Arabidopsis thaliana: one gene and its partners. The protein of the gene in region 1 interacts with the protein of each later gene in a pairwise test. Each region holds a gene or a part of one and is shown on either strand. Other genes may lie near its edges. The genes, in order: CYCD4;1, AT1G67580, CAK1AT and ICK3.

Evidence for each region.
Region 2: the proteins of CYCD4;1 (region 1) and AT1G67580 interact in a protein complementation assay, tested with the Arabidopsis thaliana proteins (one large-scale study listed by BioGRID).
Region 3: the proteins of CYCD4;1 (region 1) and CAK1AT interact in a protein complementation assay, tested with the Arabidopsis thaliana proteins (one large-scale study listed by BioGRID).
Region 4: the proteins of CYCD4;1 (region 1) and ICK3 interact in a protein complementation assay, tested with the Arabidopsis thaliana proteins (one large-scale study listed by BioGRID).

The regions. Positions count from the first base shown.
Region 1 is NC_003076.8:26,140,548-26,146,413, forward strand, and holds CYCD4;1 (CYCLIN D4;1), read right to left. Parts: upstream 3,447-5,866; 5' UTR 3,204-3,446; coding exon 2,943-3,203; intron 2,796-2,942; coding exon 2,766-2,795; intron 2,637-2,765; coding exon 2,550-2,636; intron 2,448-2,549; coding exon 2,349-2,447; intron 2,258-2,348; coding exon 2,053-2,257; coding exon of another isoform or gene 1,979-2,052; intron 1,917-1,978; coding exon 1,789-1,916; coding exon of another isoform or gene 1,753-1,788; exon of another isoform or gene 1,566-1,752; coding exon of another isoform or gene 1,563-1,565; exon of another isoform or gene 1,192-1,562; coding exon 1,045-1,191; 3' UTR 923-1,044; downstream 1-922. UniProt on the Arabidopsis thaliana protein: May activate cell cycle in the root apical meristem (RAM) and promote embryonic root (radicle) protrusion.
Region 2 is NC_003070.9:25,326,429-25,333,920, forward strand, and holds AT1G67580 (Protein kinase superfamily protein), read right to left. Parts: upstream 5,034-7,492; 5' UTR 4,538-5,033; coding exon 2,823-4,537; intron 2,290-2,822; coding exon 2,154-2,289; intron 2,068-2,153; coding exon 1,979-2,067; intron 1,787-1,978; coding exon 1,675-1,786; intron 1,582-1,674; coding exon 1,475-1,581; intron 1,399-1,474; coding exon 1,299-1,398; 3' UTR 854-1,298; downstream 1-853. Other genes in the region: AT1G67570 (zinc finger CONSTANS-like protein (DUF3537)), read left to right, coding at 1-283, 368-510; AT1G67590 (Remorin family protein), read right to left, coding at 6,709-6,930, 7,130-7,211, 7,305-7,492.
Region 3 is NC_003075.7:14,285,545-14,291,413, reverse strand, and holds CAK1AT (CDK-activating kinase 1AT), read right to left. Parts: upstream 3,018-5,869; 5' UTR 2,944-3,017; coding exon 2,443-2,943; intron 2,251-2,442; coding exon 1,312-2,250; 3' UTR 1,298-1,311; exon of another isoform or gene 976-1,297; 3' UTR 501-975; downstream 1-500. Other genes in the region: AT4G28990 (RNA-binding protein-like protein), read right to left, coding at 20-209. UniProt on the Arabidopsis thaliana protein: CDK-activating kinase that modulates CDKD-2 and CDKD-3 activities by phosphorylation of the T-loop. Activates CDKD-2 C-terminal domain (CTD) kinase activity. Activates CDKA-1 probably by phosphorylation.
Region 4 is NC_003074.8:9,058,739-9,062,964, reverse strand, and holds ICK3 (Cyclin-dependent kinase inhibitor family protein), read right to left. Parts: upstream 2,130-4,226; 5' UTR 1,976-2,129; coding exon 1,569-1,975; intron 1,470-1,568; coding exon 1,377-1,469; intron 1,293-1,376; coding exon 1,223-1,292; 3' UTR 962-1,222; downstream 1-961. Other genes in the region: AT3G24820 (BSD domain-containing protein), read left to right, coding at 107-248. UniProt on the Arabidopsis thaliana protein: Inhibits CYCD2-1/CDKA-1 complex kinase activity without interaction with the complex.

The DNA of each region.
Region 1 (5,866 bases):
TTTAAAAGTCTAGTATATGCAGTGATAAAATCATATTCACAAAGTTTTCAATGACAGATGATCTTTCACATTCACCAATTACATGATGGTTATTACTAACATTATTTATTTTATTGATTATTGAGACATATAGAAAATAACTGAATACAACAAATGTTATGAGTTAAAATTGTAATTATTTTAAAGAAAATATATACCAACTAGCATTTGTTAATACATAATTTAAGTTTTTTTCTTACACAACTATTTCACAAGATTAGACCGACTTGTTTAATGATGTATAGAGACTTTTTTTTAACCTTTTCAGATTAAAAATGTCTATTTAAAAAATGATACAAAAAGGGGAAATCTTCATAAATTATCTCCACGCACAATTATTTTATTTCAGGATCATCAAATTGCTAGTATGCCATGCGACAATGGTAGACCCAAATGATTAAATTTAATGAATATAGCATTGGCCCATTTTCTTCATAGTTACAGATCCTAGAGGTTTAGTGGACCTGGAGTCCAATCATTTTATTTATTTTTTGTTAAAAAGTTTTCAATAAAATATTGGGATTTTGGAGTTTTGTTGATAAAAGGTATAAAACGCAAAAGCTCCATAAAGCACAACCTAGCTTTGGTCTCTTTACGTCAACTTTAAGTCAAAGACTTCTGTTCGTGGGCCCAATTCTAAGCCCATTAGTGCGATGCGCGCTTTATCTCACAACGGCACCGTTTGAATTAAAAAAGGTCAACTCTAACGCTCAACAGAACCGATACGGTTTTTTCCCGCTATATTTATTTGGCGGGAACCAATTAAAAAAAGCTCTGTTTTTCCTTTGTTTTATTTTCTTTCTCTTTTTTGCTATTTCCTGCCAACAAAAAATTCTTATAATTTTATTTGTTCAGTATTACCAAAGCTATAAACAAATCAAATATTGAAATTAATACACTTTTATTTATTTAAAAATTTTTGCTTTGATTTATTGTCCTCTTTTTTCAACCTCTCATCAGACATCATACTGATTATAATAATGTAAGAAAAAAACAGTTTTTTTTTTAAGAAAGATGTGTATAAGAAGAAGAAGAATCATGGGTCTTAAAGCTGAAACAACAAGCCGATACTTCTAAAACCCCATTGGGTGTTTGTGAACATAAGTCTGAGCCATCACTCTCTATCATTTCCCCTATCTTCTTCACTCTCTCCTGCAATAAAAGGAACCACAAAGTTTAAAGCTTGACACTTTTGTTTTTGTCTCTTGAACACAAACACAAACACAACACACAAAGATCTCTTCAGCTTTTTCTGGTGTAGAAAAACAACTAATGGAAACCAGGCTGATGTTTTGGATTGCAAGATCAAATCAGAATCAAACATGTTTTTGTGGGGGCAGATTGGTTTTAGATGTGACTAGAGGCTGTGCAGTGAATGTGTGTGTGTGACAGAGAGAGTCACAAGACACATAGCTAGAGAATAATATAATTTAAAGTGGTCTTTGGTCTACTCTCCACTAGTTTTGGAAGTCAAAGGATTCAGACCCATTAACCGGTTTCTCTTTTTTTTTTTTTTTTTTTTTTTACTTTTTGGATTTATAATTACACATATTATGTGTATGCAATGAATAAGTTAGTGCACACACATATATACACATAAATGTGTCATCTTTAATGAGTTCAAACTTCTCCACAACTGGCATTTCCTTGAAATTGAACCACCAAAGGCTGCTTTATATGTGTGTGTGTGTTTGGTATTAAAAAACAATAGATTTATGAGTTTGAGATGTTTGGTGGATTGTTTTTTACCTTTTGAAGTAGTGAGAAAAGAGGAGAGAAGGAAGAGTTGTCAAAGTGTACTCTCTGCAATTCTCCAGAAACAGAAAGTGCCACAGCAGCAGCAACTTCAGAAGGTCTAAACTCCAAAAAGTCAATACCTGCTCACTCGACACAACCACCATTTTAATCCAAAATCATAAAAAGCAAAAGTGAAAAAAACAACAAAACCCAAAAAAGCACAAAAACAAAAGTGGTCAAGAAAATAAAACATAAAGGAAAGACTTTTTTTTTCACCTTTGGTTGTGCTGGCTATCACTTGTAATGATCTAGATATCAATGTGTTGGATGGTTCTTGATCACATTTACTCATCTTTCTCAGGAAATATCTTATGTATGAGCATGGAGTTATTGCTCTCAATCTCCATTTCAATTTGTTCAACACCAAAAGCTCCATTCTTTGGACTGATTTAGCCTCAAACACAAACTGAGGATCTCCAACCTGTTCCGAAATGTGATCAAACCGCAATCGATTCAAGACATTGTCGGGTCGAATAGAACATCTCGACAATTTAACGAGTTTAGAGGAGAACCTGAAGATCTATCAACATTGGAACTTCAGTTTCTTCAATTTTGGCTGCCAATGATAAACAAGCCACAGCCAACAACTGCAATATCCAACCTTTGCCACTCTACAAGAAGAATCACAAATCAAGAAGCGAAAAAATGAGACTTTTTGATGATGAATGGCTAAAAACATTATCAATCTTTTAGTTTAACCAATGTGAACTTACAGGCAAATCATGAACCGATAAGAATCGATCCAAGTAGTTCATTGCTAAGCAAAAACACAATGGTCCAAACTGGTGTACTTCACAAGCCTGTTGTAATCAGAACAGAAGAAAAGATCAATTAGAGATCTAAAACTCTGAGACTGAAGTGAATCTATTGTCAATTGAAGTGTGAAAGATCGGAAATTGAGCATCAGATTTACAGATTTAAGACAAAACCTCTCTATCTGTTCTGCATAAGCCTCTGATCTAATAGACATAGCAACACACTCTTTATGTTCAGATCATTCATCAAAAGGATTGTGCTTTTCACAATTTGAGCTTATACAGATCATTCAAAACCAATCAACATCCAAATTTCAAAACCAGAAATCAAAATCAAATAGAGAATCAGACCTTCCAAATCCAATTGAGGGCATCTCTTCTTCCAACATTCAAATCCAAATCTCCACTTCTAAGTCTCTTGATGTAATCATCACTTGGCAAATGCTGCTTCTCCTTCTCCACCATCTCCATGATAATCTCCTCACTCTCCGATTGAGAAAAACCCATCTGAGGAATCGAAATTTCAATCGGAGTTTCGTCAACAATCATGCCCTCATCATCAACGTTGCTCTCTGTACATAAAAGACTCAGTTCTAGATTCTCCTCTGCCATTACAACAGAGTGTTCATGTAAGAAAAATTGATCCTTTGTATTTGGTAATCGATCTAAAAGGAACTGTATCGTTAGATTGTCATCTAGAGATTGGGGAAGTGAAAGAAAGATTGGGTCTTTGATATTTCTGTATGCCCTCGTGGAGGAAGGGGTTTTTGTTTTGGGGTTGAGGGTAAAATTAAAGGGTGAAGCTTTTCTTTTTTTTATTGAGGAAGTTAAGAAATGTGGTTTTTAGGGTAAGATGGAGATTGTGTGAGAAGGAGAGAGGCTATATATAATGGTGAAGAAGATGAAAAATGTAAGATAAAATTTGAAGATTTTAGAAAGTGAATTGACTATCATGGTAACAAATGTGAGAAGTTGGAAAATTATGAAAATGTGGTAGGAAATTGAGGTGAGAATTGAAAAGTTAGTTGGTTTTATTCGTTGTATTTTAGTTTTTAGATGATGAATCGAGTGAATATCGTTGGTAGTTCGGTATCAGATTTGCGCCATAAGTTTTTTGGAATTTGTATTTCGGTCTTGTATGCATAGTTAACAGTTAACATTTTTGTATATTCAATGGTAAAATATTGAATGTTGAAAGATTTAATCATAGTATATGTCTTTACATATTTTTTGATATTTCATAATTTTATTCCTTGTTTTAATAACAGTAAAATATATATAGTTTGACTAATAGTTTAAAACAGTATTGAATTCTATAAATCTTAGGAAATATTTTTTAACAAAATTGTTTGACTAAATAATGCAATTTGATATTATGATCGAAATATACGCTGAATCATGATATTTTATTTTCAATATCCGACATTGAACAAAATAAAAATGACCCCAAAAAAACTAATGTAAATTCATGCCACAAATAAAAAGAAGTTTTGAATGTAAAATTTGACTCAAAATCCATCTATAATGATATTTGAACCATTTGCTCTGGTAGATCTTTGACCACTGTTTTTTGATTCTAGGGTCACTTTTAGACACAATAATTTCAATATCTATCATCATTGCATATACCTTTGAATGAAAAAGCAGACTGTATATTTGTATAAGAACTACGTCATATACTCATTTAAGTTCAAAATATGGTCTCTGTTTGTTACACAATATGGTCTTTGTTTTTTACACATTATGGTCTTTCTTTAATATGGTTTTAGTTTACCCAAATATACTGTCTTCTGTTTTACCCAACTTATAAGATTTAACTATAAGGTTTTTAATATTTATAAAAGTATTTATTTTTGTTCTCTTGCAAGTTGAGGTCAATAACTAGTGCTCTATCACCTCCAAAGATTCTACATTAGTATATTTGTAAGGAGATTAGTATTTTTTATTTATAAATAGTAATTAGTAATTTTCTACCACATGAAAATAAAGCTAGCTACGCGACGAGTTGCTTGAAAACACCACACGAGAATTTCTTGCTTGAGGTTACATGGCAAATAGTCATCGAGCCACTGGTTTCAACTTTCAACTACTATATAGTCATGTTATGGAATGAAACATCAAACATTAGCTCATTGTCATTTTAGTTAACAAAGTCGTATTTTGTAGGAAGCAAATGAATTACACAAAATTCATTGCAATAATAAAGAAAATTTTTCCTTGAAAACGATTATCTTACTTTCAAAAATCAAATTTCATTCTATATTATATCTGTTATTCTTACAATTTTCATATTTTCTCGTTTCTTCATTATCAGTCGGAGTCTTAAAAAATTGTAAAGATAAACTCCTGTTCATACAATATATTCTTATCCAACTAAGTTTTAGAAATCACCGATGCGCACCAAAACACACAGCTTTTTGAAATTGTAAAGTAGAAACAAGTCTACAACTATACGACCGCAAAAAACCCTTTAACATAAATTAAAAAAAAAAAAAACTATACGACCGCGAGCATGTTTGATCTTTCGGTTTGTAGAATTTTATAAGATATAAAAGAAATGTATTATATCATTTTACCAAGGTGCTCTTTTATTTTGTTGGTAGTGTAGTAGTAAGTATAGTAATAACGTGATTGTGACAATCACGTGTCAGCTAATAAACTTTGATGTTTTTACTGTCTTTAAATTTGATTATCTTTTCGAGCGGTGAGAAGAAACAAAAGTTTAAGTTAAAGCAAAAAAAAGAATGAAGCGTTTTTTTTTCCGAATTAAACTTAAAAGGCTCAACTATTTATAGATTTTTATTATCTTTCATGCATGCAAATGTGAAATGCCAGACAAAAGTGGTCCAAGTACACTTTTGATGTTTTGCTACTCTTTGTGTGTTCTGAGATTCTAACTTGTAAGTTTCTGCCTCTCTCTATATAACTTTTTTTTTTGGTATAGTGAATATATAATTCGTGTTTTATGCACGCCTATGTCAACTTAACAAACACTTTGCTCGAGTCACATGGCCTGATGGTTCAAATCCGAAGTTAGATGTTTTTTAAAAAAATTATAATGAAAACGTCGGCTGAATCCATCGGTTTGGTCCGACCTGTAAAGAATTTAAAATAAATCTAACTAATTAGTGAAGTCTAAAACGATTTAGGTGATCATCAGTTTTAGGGTTTCAAACCCCGATCAAATCCAAATCAAATCTAAATCCAAATTTCAAACCCGAAAAACTGATTTTATATCCACAATTTATATATTACATATTCTAATTGTCAAAATA
Region 2 (7,492 bases), on another chromosome or scaffold:
TGTCTACACGCAGCAACAAAAATATCACACAGAGCTCAAGCAATAGCATCAGTTGCAAGTAGATGGCATGCGATGATGTCTTGCTCGTCTACAGATTCAACTCAGATAAGGGCATCTCCTAGTGGAGTTCATTTGGAGGCTACCACGAATCCGCCCATCTCCTTTCCGATTTCCCGTTCAGATAGTGATGTGGAATCAATGGATCACTACATGAGGATGCCTGTTACTAACCAGTTTCCTTCTTATATGTCCATGTCCTCATATCACAAACGACAAGCTTTCGGTGAGATTTGTTTCGCCCTTTTTTACTTGTACCTTTACAGCTAAACTCAGATATGATGATAGCTAATTAGATGATATGTTGCAGTGTTGTATTTGCAGATGAATCCAGGCGGGATAACGATATTCGGGTGGACAGTAGACAGGCATTTGATAAACACAATATTCTTCATTGAGCTCTCTCTAGTTACTTTTGTACTCGGCAAGACTGTAGTTTTCGGTACTGAATGACCAAAAAAAAAAAGGGTTGGTGTATCATGCATTATTGCATAGCTTTTTTACCTTCTGCCATATAGTGAGATTCTTCAATTGATAGGAGAAGATATACTTACATGAGCGTCTCTTAACTTTTTTTTTTTTTTTTTTTCCCGCGAGCCTCTCTTAACTTGGTTACGTGAAGAGTGTACAAAGCTATATTGTACTAGATGGAGGAGGAGTTTCTTGATCTTGATCCTGTTGTTGGACTCGTCGTTTTTGTAAAATCCATACTTGTTCACTCTCAAAATATGTCCGAACATTTGGATTTTTTATAAATAATATCATATTTTATGGCAATTTGCAAATTTATAACATATGGAGTAAATTGTAAATTATATAATTAAAAGGTATTAGTATATAAATAGAAATAGAATATTTCTAAAAATATTCTTTTTTAGACTAGAAAATAGAAATATACATTGGAGAGAAAGCAACTCTATTTTAGAGTAAGATATAGAGCTATACATTGGAGATTGTCTTACAAAACAAGCACTGTCAGAAAGCCATAGCACTAACTGGCCAGCCTAGCTTGTGAACACATTAAACCTGCAAGGATTCTCAGTGGCGAAAGGAGGAAAATCATCTTCACAAATCACCACGGACCCTCAAAGTGAATAAAGAAAGCATGAATGATATTCTGAGATACAAATATTCCAACCTCCGCTTAAGCAGCAGCCCTCGCCTAAAATGTGGTAATTCCAAGGTATTTGAGAATATCAAGGTTGTATTCCAACTGCTATCTTCGACCGGTGTGCTGTACTTCAGCCAAACAGACCGCCAGACCCAAGTTCGGTTTGCGTTAATTCCTTCCTACGTTGCTCTTCCAAAGGATCAGGGCTCTTTACCATTCTCCTCCCACGCCTAGGCATAGAAGAAAAAGTAAGAGACAGAATTAAAGTCAACCACTGATCGTTTCAGTTTAGATAGACCTCAGTACCTGTCTTGGGCATGTTGAGCAGGAAAAGTAGGCATGAAATCTTTGGATTTTGGCAGAGGGACTTCGCGGAACCAATCATGCTTTAGAGCTTCATTAACAGTTATTCTCTGCAGAAGAAGCCACAGAGATCCAAAAGTCAAGGAACAATTAAGGTGCATACTGGATTAACATGCATGCAACAGATATATATTTTCTATTACCCTTTCAGGATCGTACGTTAGGAGCTTGTTCAGTAAGTCAAACCCAGCATCGGACAGAACTGGTGCACCAGTGAACGAAGTGGCTGGGAATTTCTTACGTAATAGGTTATACCTAAAAGTACAGGTAAGCGGTGAGAAGAGTGACATAACAACTATGAAAACAATATAAATCCACTAATGAGTCAGAGAGCCACACCACATCATCTAAAGCTAGAAAGCCTGGGAACAATATTAGAGACTTTAAGCATATACTAAGGTTATCCTTCCATATAAACTGAAAATAAAAGGAACTATAAATACTTACTGATGCTTGACAAAGTTGACCTTGACTCCAGGTAGTTTAGAGAACCCAGGCCAAATAGATTCATTGGGAGTACCAAGGATTCTGAAAATCTGTAAATTAAAGAAGGAGTAATTTATAAGCTGTATGTGGTCCCAGGATGGCTGGAGATCCAAATCAAAACCGATGTTTAAAATACCTTGTCAAGTTGATCAAACTCCGTTTTCCCATTGAACAATGGCGCCTTCATTAATAGTTCTGCCATGATACAGCCCAGTGACCACATGTCAATGGCTGTAGAATATTGTTTTGCTCCCAAGAGAAGTTCAGGTGCCCTGGAAAAACAAATGCAGTCGTTGGGCTTGGTCCCGGAGGAAGTGATTATTGCTAAAACAAGAAGGGAGAGTCAACACAAGGAACAAAACAAGTCAAGGAAGTTGAAGCACGTATATTTCCTAATGTGCCCAGATTACGTTGGTTCATGGTACGTGGTGTCCAAGCAAATACCGCAAAAGTGTTAAGTATTTAATGGCTAAGCTGGCATATTATGAAGACTATTCTCAAAGAGGAAAGATAAGGATCCAAGGCAGTCACAAAACTCAAGTTTGTGGTGCCATTGGAACAAATATCAGATACCTTGGAACACCATTTAAAAACAGGACTTTAAAATCATTGATCCTAATGTGCAGAAATAGAAAAGGGAGTACGGTGTAGTACAGCTATACCAGAAAGGAGACGTGGCACCTAATGTTATACTAACAATGGCCAAAAAAAAACAAGAAAGTCCACCAGAATTCAAATAACAATCGTAAATGTAAACACCACTTAATTTTTTTATAAACAAGAATAGGGTAAAAACGCACTTTACCTGTACCAAAGCGTAACAACCAGATGAGTATAAGGCTTGAGCGGGCTGCCATATTGCCGAGCCAAACCAAAGTCACATATCTTCAACTCACCCCGATTGTTTAAAAGCAGGTTAGATGTTTTCAAATCTCGATGAAGCACCCAGTTGTCGTGAAGATACTTGACGCCCTCTAAAAGTTGAAGCATTAAGCACTTAACTTCACTTTGACTAAAACGCTGCTTCATTGTCTCCATCAATGCTTTAAGATCATGTTCCATGTATTCCATCACCATGAATATGCTATCAAGGCTGCTACCCACGACCACCTCTTTAACATCCACTATTGATGGATGATGAAAAGAAAGGAGGATGTTAATTTCCCTAAGAGAAGTCAATGGAAAACCTTCTCTTTCTTTTTCCATCTTCACCTTCTTCAATGCCACAATTTCGCCTGTCTTCTTATCCTTTGCTCTATAAACAACACCATAAGTACCTTCATCGATCTTATTTAACCTCTCAAATTCATCAACACTTCTACAACCCTGGAGCATGTTTATACTTCTCAGTGGAGTACTGGCAGGTTCAGGTGTCTCATGCCGTACATATTCGTCATCTGAATCTGTTTCACTAAGGCTGTCAACAGAGTTTTCTCTTCTGTGTTCCTCCTCATCTATTTCCATCTTGTCACTCTTAACAGCATCTCTCTCCTCAAAATCATCTCTGCTTCCCGGTAAAGAATGGTGCCCCCTTTCATCGGAATCAGATGATCTATAACCTTCCCTCACTAACTCCCCGACCTCAGGTGTTTGAGAGGTATTGCGAAATCTCCCCTGCACGGGAAATGGTTTCTTCCTCCTTTTCTTTTCCCCAACTTCTTCTACTATTTCAACTTCATCAGTTGGAGAACTATTACCAGCAGCCCACCTAGAGGATGATATATGCCGTGTTGGCATGTTTTCATCCTCTTCCAGGTGTGTTGCATGCTCTTGTTTGTCATCCTGCTCAGCATTTGATGACTGTTCTACCACACACAAAGAGGACATCTCTACCGAAGGTGACAAAGCAGGCATAGAAACCGCAGAAACACCAACTTCCACAGGATCTTGATGCATGTCACTCTTTGCAGGTGAATAATGAGAATTACCACCACAACTGACACTAGGTGACTGGCTTGACCTCTTAACTAGTGGTGGTGGGGGAGGAAGAGGAGTGACCTCCACAGGTTTTTCATTTCTGCTCAAATTACTTCTCTCATGGTCATCCCTATCCCATACTATTGGTGAAAACTTTCTCTTCTTTTCCACAGGACTTTGAGCTCTATTCTCTACCTCCTTCACAACTCCATTAACTTTCGCCAGTGATTCCGACTCAATCAAATCATCCGACCCACTCTCACTAGAGAGCTCGCCTGGTTCCCTGTCCACAGACCTAGCTGAAAACCCGCATCTTTTAGGACCAAGATCGATAAATACTTCTCTACTACCTGGATTGCTCTTCGATAACCGAAACCCACTACTAACCATTTTGTTCTCTTCCTGTCTAGCTCCAGACTTAATTCTATCTCTATCCCCGTGTCTTAGATTACTAACCCGTCCCTTTCCATTATCAATAGCACCGTTCCTAACATGATTATAATCCTCGTTCGCATAAGCACTATCCCGCCTGGAAAATCTAGAATTCGATTCCTGGTCTCTCAGTTCATGGTCTGGATATCTTATATTCCTCCCAGCCGCCATACAGAACTTCGGTGAGAAAGGGACCCAAACAAACCCAAAATCCTAATTTGACGAACTCTTAAATCTGCTACTAGCTAGCTGTGTTCAAAATCAGAATTGCAGAGACTAAACCTTGAGATTTCAAAAGTTGAATTACGCACCGATTTAACAGCTACTTGCGATCAAATCGCTTACAATTGAAGCAGAACTTGTGATCAGAACCGCGAAACCCTAGAAACCGAAAGCGAGACCCGTGGATACGGAGGAAGAGAGGACGAAACGAGAAGAGAACTCAGAATTGGAAAGTGAAAATACGATTGATAAGGAGTTCGTAAAGTTCCGATTGACGACGGGTGGATATAGATTACCGTGGAGAGGGAACGAACAATGGCGGAGAGAGAGAGAGAGAAGAAAGTTTCTCGTCGAAAGCTCAAAGCTTTAGGTCTCTAAAATCGTGTTTTTGTATTCGCCCCCTCTATTTTATTGTTTTAGTATAAGGAGCCCCTTGATGAAAAAAAAAAAGGTATAAGGAGCCCCTAACTTTTGTAATTAATCAATGTGTTTCTTTTTATTTTTATCTCTAAAATATTTTAAAACTTCTACGACAATATTATTGAAACCAAAAATATATTTATTTATTTAAATTTAACATGTTATGGTCTTGAGTTTTTTTTTTGGTAGGCTGTTATTGTTTGAGTTTTTATCGTGAGATTTTACCATCAAATTGGCAAAACAATTTTATTTTCGTGGGATAGTCACACGACTCACACCCAAAATTAATCGAATTATTGTCATCTTAACCACAAAGACTATTATCTTGAAAGTCGATGTTGGAGCACTTGGAACATAAGAACAATCTCATTGATGATTTCTAAACATAAGTCTTTTATTTTAAAGAAAGAAAATTTATTATAAAAGAATGTGTGGGCTTTTTGATTAGTGAAAAAGTCATCTCTAAAATACCTTATATAGGAAATTTTGGAGAGAATTTCTTAACTATTCAAGAAACTCACATAGTTAGATAATATTATTTTTGTTGTTTTAATGTTAAGAAACTTATATCTAGAAACCACAAATAAAATTGCTCTAAGACATGAAAACCTTAATATTACCATCAAATCATTTAAATCAAAAAACATATGTTAATTTTTGGAGTCATGTTAACTTTGATAATTATGTACCTAATATTGCCGAAGGCCAGTCAAAACTAAAATGTCTAATTTCAATGTCCGAAAAAATGATTGTCACGGTTTGTGGCTGCATAATGTTTAGGGGACCACATAAACCGTTTTAGAACATTATGAATATTCATAATCTCTCAATCACGAACTAATCATTTCTCTTCTTGTTTGTGTTCATGACTAGCTTGGTCGAAACATATGAGTCATCTTTCATTCTAGACTTCAATTTTTTTGCTCTTTACAAAATTTGACAATCAAAATCACTATCAAGTACTAGTACTATTCCATCATATCTGAGATTATCTTTATTTGATTTGTGTGGATGTCGTAATCCGCAATTAGAATTTTGTGGTTGTTTCGTGAAGGTCTTAAATCTTGTTAGACGAACAGTGATCAAGTGAAAAGTATTTATGTATTTCAGTATAGTTTCAGTACAATGTGTATCCCCTTTTACAATGTCAATTGACTCTTATTTATACAAATACATCGAATCAAACGAGTTAAATGATTCGCTGACTTCACGCCGCGGATCTCGCCTCATTAACTTCGCACGTTACGAGTCGTCAGCTCGGATCGTAAATGCTTATCATTTAAGTTGAGATTCCTCCGTTACCAAATTAATGTCGGATCAACCTTTGAACTGCTGGGCTTACATTGTGCCTTAAAGCCGGGCCTGACCTTATCTTAGAAGCCCAAAATTGCGGGGTCGGGCCAAATGCGAGATCAGACATCTGGTAAAAAGCCCAAAACTTTTGCTTTACCGGTCACATCAAAGATTATGAGTTTCCCCAAATGTGTTTGTGTCAATTAAAAGGTTAGCGACATAGTTTTAAGTGAAGTTAGCAATTAAAGTGCGGATAGTTGGCCACTCGTGGGACCTTGATTAACTTTGAGAGTTCTTGGCTCAATTTCTTTTATCTACTTCCCCAAACAAAACTTTTTTTTTTTTTTTTGCGTTAGTTATTGAATATCACTAAATCCATACGATTACATTCTAATGAAAATAGACAATTATTGACACCAACAACGAGAGGGAAGCTTAAAGGAGAAAGAAAAAGAAGAAGGCAAGTGACCACTCCTCCTTATATAATCAGCTTTCTCCGATGTCTTCACCGCCTTTTCGTTTAACTTAGCCTCCGCATTCGCCCTCCTCTCTTCCGCTATCCTTTTCGTCGCAGCTAGCTTGTTGGCCAACTTCTCCTCTGCCCTTGCTTTCATCCTCTCCGCCTTCACCTAAACACACGTTCACACATTGTTTTAAAACCTTTTCAATCCATAACGTTATTTTTCTCTTTAACAATTAATAGATCCAATCCATATCAAACCAATCCACACTACTTTGTCTTTTAAAAAACTAAAAAAAGACTGAACCGAAATTCGGATTGAACACGTGTTGACAACTCTCTTTCCACAATTAGACAGAACATCTTACCTCCATTTTCTTCATCTCCATCTCAGCCTTTCTCTTCTCGTGATTCTCCCAAGCTTGTATCTTCACTTCCTCTCTCTTATACCTAATTCCACACAAAAAAAAAAAACTCTCAAACACGAATCACATTAACACATATTAAAATCAACCATAAATTTAACCAATTAACGTTAATCACCTAGCCATGAATTTAGCACGTTCTGCTTCATCCCAAGCCATGGCTCGAGCTTCCATAGCACTCATAGCCTTCTTACTCTCCACAAAACCATTAACCTTCTCACTATTATTACTCTCTACCCTCCTAACCTCCGTCACCGTCTCCATCACAACCCCCACCGCCTCACCACGTTGTGAAGCCCTCACCGG
Region 3 (5,869 bases), on another chromosome or scaffold:
GTTTAGAAGAGATACGAACCACCATTGTCACCCTTATACCGATCCGAGCGATTAAACGAAGGCCGGTCACGAGAGACTTCTCCGGGCTCATAGTCTCCGGCGGCGTTGCGGCCGTCTTCTCTGTCGTTGCTTCCGGAGGGACGTACGACGAGACTGCTGATGTGAGGCGGGTGATGTTGCGTCGTCTGCTCTTTTTCTGTCGACCCCATTTCTCTCCGATTGTCAAAACTCACTCCTGGAATTTCTCGATGTCCGTTTCAGAGAAAAAAAACCCTAGGGGAGACTTGGCGATAGATACTGGTAACTGTTATTAATTTATCTTTTGGTCTATCAACTTTTGTCTAATTTTCAATATTGCCCCTTAAGTTTTATATTTAGTATGTTGGACTAGTATGACTGATTCATGGAGTCAAATGTATTGTGGTTCTGGTTTTCTTCTTTTTATAGTAAACAACAGTTCACATTTCTGGAAGAATCAGATTCAGTTATGATTTTTGTGTGTGCTATTTTTGTTGTTTATGATATCAGTTTTGATTATGTAATTTGGGTAACTGAAAATAATTTATCTTAGCAAAAACTGGATGACATATAGGATAGGCTTTTATTCCATGGTCTCATTATTGAAGGGTTGCTACTACACATGTTGATAACTTGATATGAAAAGTTCAAAATTGATCAAAATATAGAAACAATTAAGAAATACAGATCCTAGAAAGCAAAACTCGAGTATATATAGATTTTGTTTCATTGTTACTTCAGATGAAAAATAGGGTAAAGAATGGCCTGGGCAACAAGAAAACTAGCTCTTCAGCTAATAGCTAAAGGCTAACACCGACTTTCCAATTGTAAATGTTACCATTTTCATACGAGGGAGGCAGAGAGAGAGGAACAACACACACACACACACAACACATTTTTGACAAAGTAGGCGAATTCAGGGGAAGTCGGGATGATCAAGATGCTCAACCATGGACTCTGCCAAGGAGAGATAAACACATAAAACTGAGATCGATGAGAGAAACAAAGCGCAAAAAAAAGTTGTGAGATCAATGAGCAAACGAATTTCAAAAGTTTTTGCCGCCATTGATACCTAAACAATGTCCTAACGAAAAGTTAACAATTTTCTAAGCGGTATTCTGTAACAAGATCTTCAAACAACAAAGAGTGTTGCATCAATCAAGACCTAAAGAAACACATGTCAGGTTTTGGTATATACCCATTCTCTTTGAAGAAGAAAGAGAGAGAGAGAAGAGACTGATTTATGTGTTTAAGCGAGCCAGAGCTTTTGACTGCGTACCTTAAATGCCAAGGTCAGGGGAATTCTATTGTAAATCCACTACTGGTAGGCTTTACATTCATGGGTCCAAAGCCATCAAAATCTGAATCTGAATCCATTTCTCTGTAATCATTCCACTTTCTCGGAGAATCCTCATCTGGTCCACTCATTGTCGGAGGCACATAGAGCTCTGAAACTGGAACTGGAAGAGGCTCTTCACTTAAATATTTGTCATTCAGCATCTCCATAGTAGTAGCTCTACTAGCTGGATCATAACAGATAAGCTTCTTGAGCAGCGATATCACATCCCCTGAATGGTTGGGAAGGCATCCTTCAATACCAAGAGGAGATTCTACTTTAGCAAATGAGATTGACTTGTAGTCTGGAAGATCAACACAACCAGGCCAGACCTCTTCATTTAAATTTCCCAGCACATTGGTCACTCTGCTGATCTGATCAATATCTGAAATTCCTGGGAACAAAGGCTCAAGAGACAAGAGTTCTGCAAACACACAACCAAGCGACCATAGATCGACCTCTAACCCATACATCGTAGATCCATAGAGCAGTTCTGGTGGCCTAAACCATCGGGTTCCCACACAAGATGTCATCAAACCCTGTGTATCATCCACTGCTTCGTCAGCATCGTAAGAAAACGAGTTCCTACCGAGATCATCATCCATTTCACTAACAGTGCACGTTGCAAGGCAAGATATGTCTCCATCATGCACATTCGAGTCCTTATCAGTATCATCTCTAACAACCTGTTTAGCCTTGAGCTCTTCCACCTGTCGGAAGTACTCGTCTTTACTCATCGCTTCCCGTTCCTGACCATCAGACCCTTGCCTAGGTGAGTTCTCATAATCAGGAATAACTTCTGGTGGTTCGCTGGTTTCTCCATCTTTGTCTTCCAGTTTGTAAGCTTGTTGGTTTTCATCTGAAGCTACAATATCATGCTCCATGAGTATCCTAGCCTGTATATGAACCAAGAAGCCAACACACATTTAGAAACTCATAGATTACACTAAATGATAAGGTCTAGCCACTTGATTACACTAACTCTTCCAAATTTCAAGCAAACCAAGCATTTTTCATTCAGAGGTTTCTCATATTTGTGCATCAAACAATGAAATAACTAACACAATCAGTAACAATCATAATCTCACCTGACCAAAATCAGCAAGCTTAAGAACTCCATCATCAGAAATCAACATATTCCCAGGCTTCAAATCTCTATGTACAATCAAATTCCGATGACAAGCATCAACACCGGTTAAAATCTGAATCATCCATCTCTTAATCTCCCCAACCGAGAATCCATCCCCTCCTTCTACCTTCTTCTTCCTCTTACCATCTCGGATCACCGCAGCGAGATCCGACCTAAGAAACTCAAGCACAAGCACAGCGTTCTCTTCCTCACGCCAGAAGTATTCGTGCATAACAACTACATTAGGAGATCCATTGAGGATGGTGAGCGCGTCAATCTCCCGGAACGCAGATTGGTAATCGAAAATCTCCTTGAGCGCGACGATTAGACCGTCGGAGAGACGGCGAGCTCTGTAAACGTCGGCGTAAGCTCCGGATCCGACTCGCTCGAAGATCTCGTACTTGGCGATTATCTCCGGCCGGGTATGGATACTCCAACTGGTCGCCGGTTGTTTATCCATCTCCTTTAAAACGGCGTCGCTTTTCTTCGGATCTTTCCTGATGATGGATGATTATTCACATAAACGCTAACGAATTCACCAGTTTAAAAATCCAGTTCCCATGTTGTAATGACTAAAATGCCCTCACAAGTTTTGGAGCGGACAAGAAACCAAACCGCAGGGGGGGACTTTTATCACTTATGCCACTTTTTTGAAAAAACTGATCTGGACTGCCATAAGTTAATCTGAATGCCACCGAAAATGTGATATACCAGTTGTACCCTTAATGAGTTGATTAAAAAAATGAAAAAGAAATTCAAAAGCTAAATAAAGAAAATCGAGTTCGGAGATTCTCCTCTTCGTCGTCGTGTTCTTCTTCTTTGGTCGACGTTCATCTTCTTCGTCGGCCACCATCGATTTCCTCATGCCGCCGACTTGAAATCCGGCGTAAAAGCCACGAATTAGGTCAGTTTCTTCTCATATTTCCTTTGACATTGGTGCATTGTGATTTTAGATTGGGATTTTGAATTCTATATAATTCCCAGCTCGATTCAATTTGATAGTTTGATGATTGGTTTGCAAAGTAAAGAGTAATCGATTAGAGGTTGCCGAAACGTTATTTGAGGTGATGAGCAAAGGAATGTAGGTTGAATGTGAGTTGAATTTGAATTCCGAGATTTCATATTAAAGATTTGGGGGGTTTGTGTTTGCAAAGTTTAGATTAACCAATTAGTTTAACGAATAGGTATGTATTAACATTGGAAATCAATTGAAAGGTAACGAATTAGGTTCAGTAGAGACGAGTGCGACGAGAGATTGATTTCAACGTATGATAAGAGTACATGTGGTATAACTATTAAAATGTTTGATTGGAGTTGAACTGGTTGTATTTTCAGGAGCGATGAAGAAGAAGATCCACACTAAGGTACATTTTGACTTTGGAGGATACTATTCTGAAGTGAATGAGTGGATTGGTAAAAATTCACTATATGTTATATCGTTTAAGACGAGTAGTTTGGAGAAGATTAGCTATTCGATGTTAGTTGACAAGATCATGAAGAAGGTTGCGATTGATGAAGCTTCTGTCAAGTTGAAACTGAGTTACAATCTGTCTAAAGTTAGGAGAGAGACATATATTGTAAATGATGAGGATGTCTTCATATTTTTAACAGAATCTGATGAAGAGAGTCGGATTCCTGTTTTGCATGTGGAGGAATTAAATGGTATAGGAGTTGAGAGGAGAGAGGAAATTTCTGTACCGGAGCGTCGAAGTTCAGTTGGTGTAAATGTAATAGAGGATGATGTTTTAAATGAAGTATGTGAGATGGTGCATGATGGATATGATAATGATGTGAATGATTGTGAGAATGTAGTAGGTACGGAGATCGTGGCTATCGAAAGGCCGATGGAAAGGCCGGTGAATTCTGTTGAGGAACAAGATGAGGATGATAGGATTGATTATGATGATATTCACGATATTCCACGAAGTGTAGAAGTTACTCCGCAGGTTATAGAATGGGATGATGGTACGGGTATTGAAATTGGTCAAGAATTTTGTTCAAGGGAGGCTGTGTGGGAATTGGTTAACAGAGCTGCAAAGAAAGAAGTTTTTGGAGTCTATACTATTAAGTCAGACCCGTTGAGACTTATGCTACGATGCCGCCAAGCTTCTAAAGGGTGTACTTGGTATCTAAGAGTTGCGAGAACTAAAAAATCTCATTTTTGGAGTGTTAGAGTGCATAGAAAGATGCATACATGCTCTCGGAGTGTTGAGACTACAAGCAACAGTATACAGCGAGGCACACCAAGATTAATAGCATCGGTTTTACATTGTGATTATCCCGGAAATTTAGAGACCCCAACTCCAAAAAACATTATGTCGATTGTAAGAGGAAGACTTGGGGTGCATTGTTCATACTCCACTGCCTTAAGAGGCAAAATGCTACATGTTAGTGATGTGCGAGGGACTCCGGAAAGAAGCTACACGATGTTATTTTCTTATCTTTACATGTTAGAGAAGGTAAATCCAGGGACAGTAACTTATGTGGAGTTGGAAGGAGAGAAAAAGTTCAAGTACCTCTTCATTGCATTAGGCGCTTGCATTGAAGGTTTTAGGGCAATGCGGAAAGTGATAGTTGTGGATGCAACTCATCTTAAAACTGTGTATGGTGGGATGTTGGTTATTGCAACAGCACAAGATCCTAATCATCATCATTATCCACTTGCGTTTGGAATCATTGATAGCGAGAAGGATGTAAGTTGGATTTGGTTCTTAGAAAAGCTGAAAACTGTATATTCGGATGTTCCCGGATTGGTCTTTATTAGTGATAGGCATCAAAGCATAAAGAAGGCTGTCAAGACGGTGTACCCGAATGCGCTTCATGCAGCTTGTATATGGCATTTGTGTCAAAACATGAGAGATCGTGTGACAATTGACAAGGATGGAGCTGCTGTCAAGTTCAGGGATTGTGCTCATGCATATACTGAGAGTGAGTTCGAGAAAGAGTTTGGTCATTTTACAAGTTTATGGCCTAAAGCTGCTGACTTTCTTGTGAAAGTAGGGTTTGAGAAATGGTCGAGGTGCCATTTTAAAGGAGACAAGTATAACATTGACACTAGTAATTCTGCGGAGTCCATTAATGGTGTGTTTAAAAAAGCGAGAAAATACCACTTGTTACCAATGATTGATGTGATGATTTCTAAGTTTTCTGAATGGTTCAACGAGCATAGGCAAGCTTCAGGTTCTTGTCCAATCACAGCACAAGTTGTGCCTACTGTGGAGAACATATTGCACATTAGATGTCAAGTTGCAGCCAAATTAACTGTGTTTGAGCTTAACAGTTACAACCAAGAATACAACGTGATTGATCTCAACTCGGTAAGTTTTCTGGTGGATTTGAAAATGAAAAGTTGTTCATGCAAATGTTTTGATATAGACAAGATCCCG
Region 4 (4,226 bases), on another chromosome or scaffold:
TCATATAGAGATAGTGAGATGGGTTTTTAGCTTGTAACAAAGTGATGAATAAAGATCACGAGAAATATGAGTTTAACCATTGGTAGTTCATGGAAATTATTTGCAGATATGAGGTGCTAGCAATCCAACAGGCTCAAATCAGGAGGATGGCCATGGAAGACAGTAAAACTTCTGAAAGCAAGGGTGTATATGAAGTTGAAATGTCAGAAACAAAGCAAAGGTTGAGTACAGGACCTGCAACTCCGTGAAGCTTCGGTGGTAGAGTTGGGATGGAACATGACAGGTACTGTAATATTACAGACTACGTATTTACTTAATACAACTATTATCAACGAGAATGAAATCACTCTAAGCATCCTATGACTTGCTTTTGCAGTTTTGCTCACAAATTAACCAAACAAAAACGCTGAACCATCGGAGAAGCAGGGCTTGATCAGTAAATATTGTTCATGTGTTAAAAGGTGACAAAACCAAGAAGGTTTTGATTCTTCAGAGATGTAAATGATCATGTGAATTTAGTACTAGTATCAGACATAACACAGTGGTCTTAAACGCTTTGTACTAATAAGAATAGACATCATTATTTAATGTTTTGATTCATCCGATGAGCAAATGATCTAAAGAGGTGAAATATTTTACAGAAACCAAGAAACCTAATCTTTAGCATGAAAGGTGCTACTAACTTAGACTTTTGAAGAAATAATTCCAGAAAGCAAGACAGTGAGTGCAGTGCCAATAAAGAAGAGAGAGATGAAATCTAATCGAAGCATTTTACTGCAACCTGTATGACAGAGGAATTGGTACAAGTACCCACATGTGTGAAAAGCCCAATGAGATTAGAGTATCAAACTATCAATAAAGAAGATAGAGATAAAACCTGTGACTAAGGTTTTTGTTCAGACAAGTTCACTACTTTTGCTACTTGAATCCAAAGTATATGACTTGTAAAGTAACTCTAATGCAGAACCACAAAACTCAGACCTTCACTGAAGTAACCAAAGAACAATGAAGAGATTTACAATACTAATTTAAGTAACTTGACAGTTAAATTAGACATTTATTTGTAGCAAATGAGAGAGATTAACATTACATTATTCTTGACTAACAAGTTATACACCAACCCTAAAACCCCACAAAGTTAGTCTGTGTGCAATTTTCATCTCCTCTGTTCCAACACAGATGTTTCCTAAAGCACACAACTTTACATCGAACACAACTCATTTCATGGCATCACTTTGACCCATTCGTAACGTCCAGGCAATGGATTGTCCGAGACAATGTCAAAGTTGTACCTGCAAAACCATAACTCCCCCAAAGTCAGACCAAACTCTAAAAACTCAAGAGAATCAAGACACTAAAGAAAATGGGATTTGTACTTTTGAATGAAGAATCTCTGTTGTTGCTGTTCTGCGCTAGCAAAGAAGTCTTCAATCTCACTTTGTATTGATTTTGAATCACTTATCATGCTCCTATGAGAGAACCAACATATCAAAACTCAATCTCTGTATTGTAGTAAAAAAAAAAAGTTTGGAGCTTTAAAATGAAAAAAAAAACAGAGTTAAAGTTACCTGTTTTCTGATTCCAAATCAAAACCTTTATCTCCAAAATTACAATCAGACCTAGATATTCTCTCATTATCACCACAAGCTTCTTCCGTCGTCGTATCCGGCTCTAATTTCTTCGCCGGACCGGAACTAGCCCTAGGGTTTTTCGTTTGACATTGATTGACACTAGGAATGAGCTGTTGCTTCTGCTGTTTTCTGGTATTAGTGAGTAATGGAAGCTTCACGAGACGGCGGCTCCGGAGCTGGAGGTAGTTAAAGGAGTCTGCTTCGTCGGAATGAGAACGGAGACGGTGGAGGGCGAGGTTTTTAGCGGCGGCGGCTCTGGTACGGAAACCTAGAGCGGGTGGGTGAGATTTATCCTTAACGGAAACGGCACCGGCGACTTTTGACTTCTTAATGTATTTTCCCATCTCCGGGAAGGTGGTTTACTGAATCTCCGGTCGAGAGCGAAAGGAGGGAAGCAACGAAGGAGGAGGAAAAAAGTGATTTTTAATCTGAAAAAGTGAAAACTAAAAGGACAATGGAAATATTTATTTTAAAATCGAATCAAAAAACAAATTAGACAAATTTTTAAGGTGTCAAAGGCCCTCTCACCTGATTGTCATCATTTTCTTCGAAAAAAGATAAATCAAAATTTAATTAATTGGAATTTAATTTAATTTTTGTATTCTATCTGATTAAAACTTAAAAGTCTACTTTACAAAAGTAAATTATGAACAATATATGAGATATTTAAAGTATTAATTTGAGTTTGCTTGAGAAAAATATAGTTTAATACGCAAATTTTTAAAAAATATTCATTTAATACGTAAACTTTGAATATAATCATTTAATATATAGAAAAAAGTTATTTTACACTAAGTTAATGTTATCTAATTTTTTTACGTTGGTATAAATTTTGGCTGATAAACAATTAAGTTTGTGTAAAATAACCGGTCAATAATTTTTACATATATTAAATGTTTATATATAAAATTTACGTATTAAATAACAACTTTTTGATAATTCATGTAGTAAACGACATATTTCCGACTCTATATTTCACTTATATTATATAATTAATTCTTAGTTACTCCAAAATAACATAAAATAATAGTTCTCAAATGAAGAACATTTTTGGAAATATATATTCCAATTATTCTATACACTATATATATAGTATTTAAAGTTTATGAGTGGTTGGTGCAACAAATAATAAAAGGCTGCCGAAAGTAACAAGGTCTTTGAGAATAAAGATCATCAAGCTTATATTAATTGCTTTGGTAGACCATCCATGATTATAAAGCAATTGATATCGTGTGGAAATTTTTAGTTATTTTTGTTAAATAATGCAAAGATCGTTGTATGTGTCAAATTTGTTTTGGTTTAAGATAATAAGGCAGTTCATTTTTTGCATCCATTTTCATTGTTTCATAAAATTTGGTAGACAAGTCAACGTTAACTTTGTACAAACAATCCAAAACAAAAGCTAGCATTCAGATTTTCAAATGTCATGCAGGTTATTGGTTCAAAAGAAAAAAAGAGTCAACCATCTATTAAATTCTTCACATTTGACAAAAACGTACACATTAATTGTATACAGATACATTTGACTGTAAATTTTTTTTTTTTAAGTAAACAAGTGTCTTAAAATTAACATCATAGGGTTGATCACTTACCTAAGTATTTATTTTCTTTGGATTTATTAGCATTGGACATTTATATTGGTTGCTTCTAGTTTTATAGTTATGTAATCATCTCAACAACCGTTCTCTTTGTGATGTAATAGTTGAGATTATCTTTCATAAATTAGGCTTCAAAAGTTGACTTGTTGGTAAATTTGTCGAACAAATAAAGTTGGTCTGACTACATGCTTATACTCACGTCTAAATAGAAAAATTAATTTTCCTTTACATAAAATTTAGTTTATACTTTATAGTATCTGAAATGTAAATATATGACTCAATTTGGTTTTCTACATTTCTTTTGTGTAGCAAACACAGTCTTATTCTTTTTTGTTTCTTTGAAACAAGAATCGTGATGCGGCGACTAATTAATCTACTGTTACGTGATATACATTTATACATTAAATCAGACTTATATTTATTTATTTTTGTTAAAAGGCCTTCTTATATTAATATATATGTAACCCGTGAAACAACAACAAGGTGAGTACTGAGTAGAGGCTCCCAATGTCAATGCCCCGGTGCTTATTATTCTTAATCGAGAGGTTTATTATTATTGAAGAAGATGAATTACATTAAAAATCTCTAAATTTAAAGCTTGCGATAATTCATAATTCTCATGATTTTATCGAAGATGTCAAAGGGACATTCTCATGAATCATGATTTTATATGCTTCAAATCGTATGCATGACCAACACTGTGTACAATCTTTAGATATTTCTTTGTTCATCAGTTCATCCAAACACGAAAGATCACACTACTAGCCCATAATACTTTAAACCTGAACAAAACTTTATAACCGGTTTAAATATGGTAAAAACTATTTTCACCGTACAAAGAAGGAAGGCACACGTGCGATGACTCTCAGCAATCATGCAACAGCTCAGATCTCGAACGCTACCGAATCCCCAAAAATCAGAGATAAAGGCAAAAAAAACAAAAAACAAATAAAGGATCTGCAATAACACTCTTCACGTCCTCCCGCCCTTTTTTTCA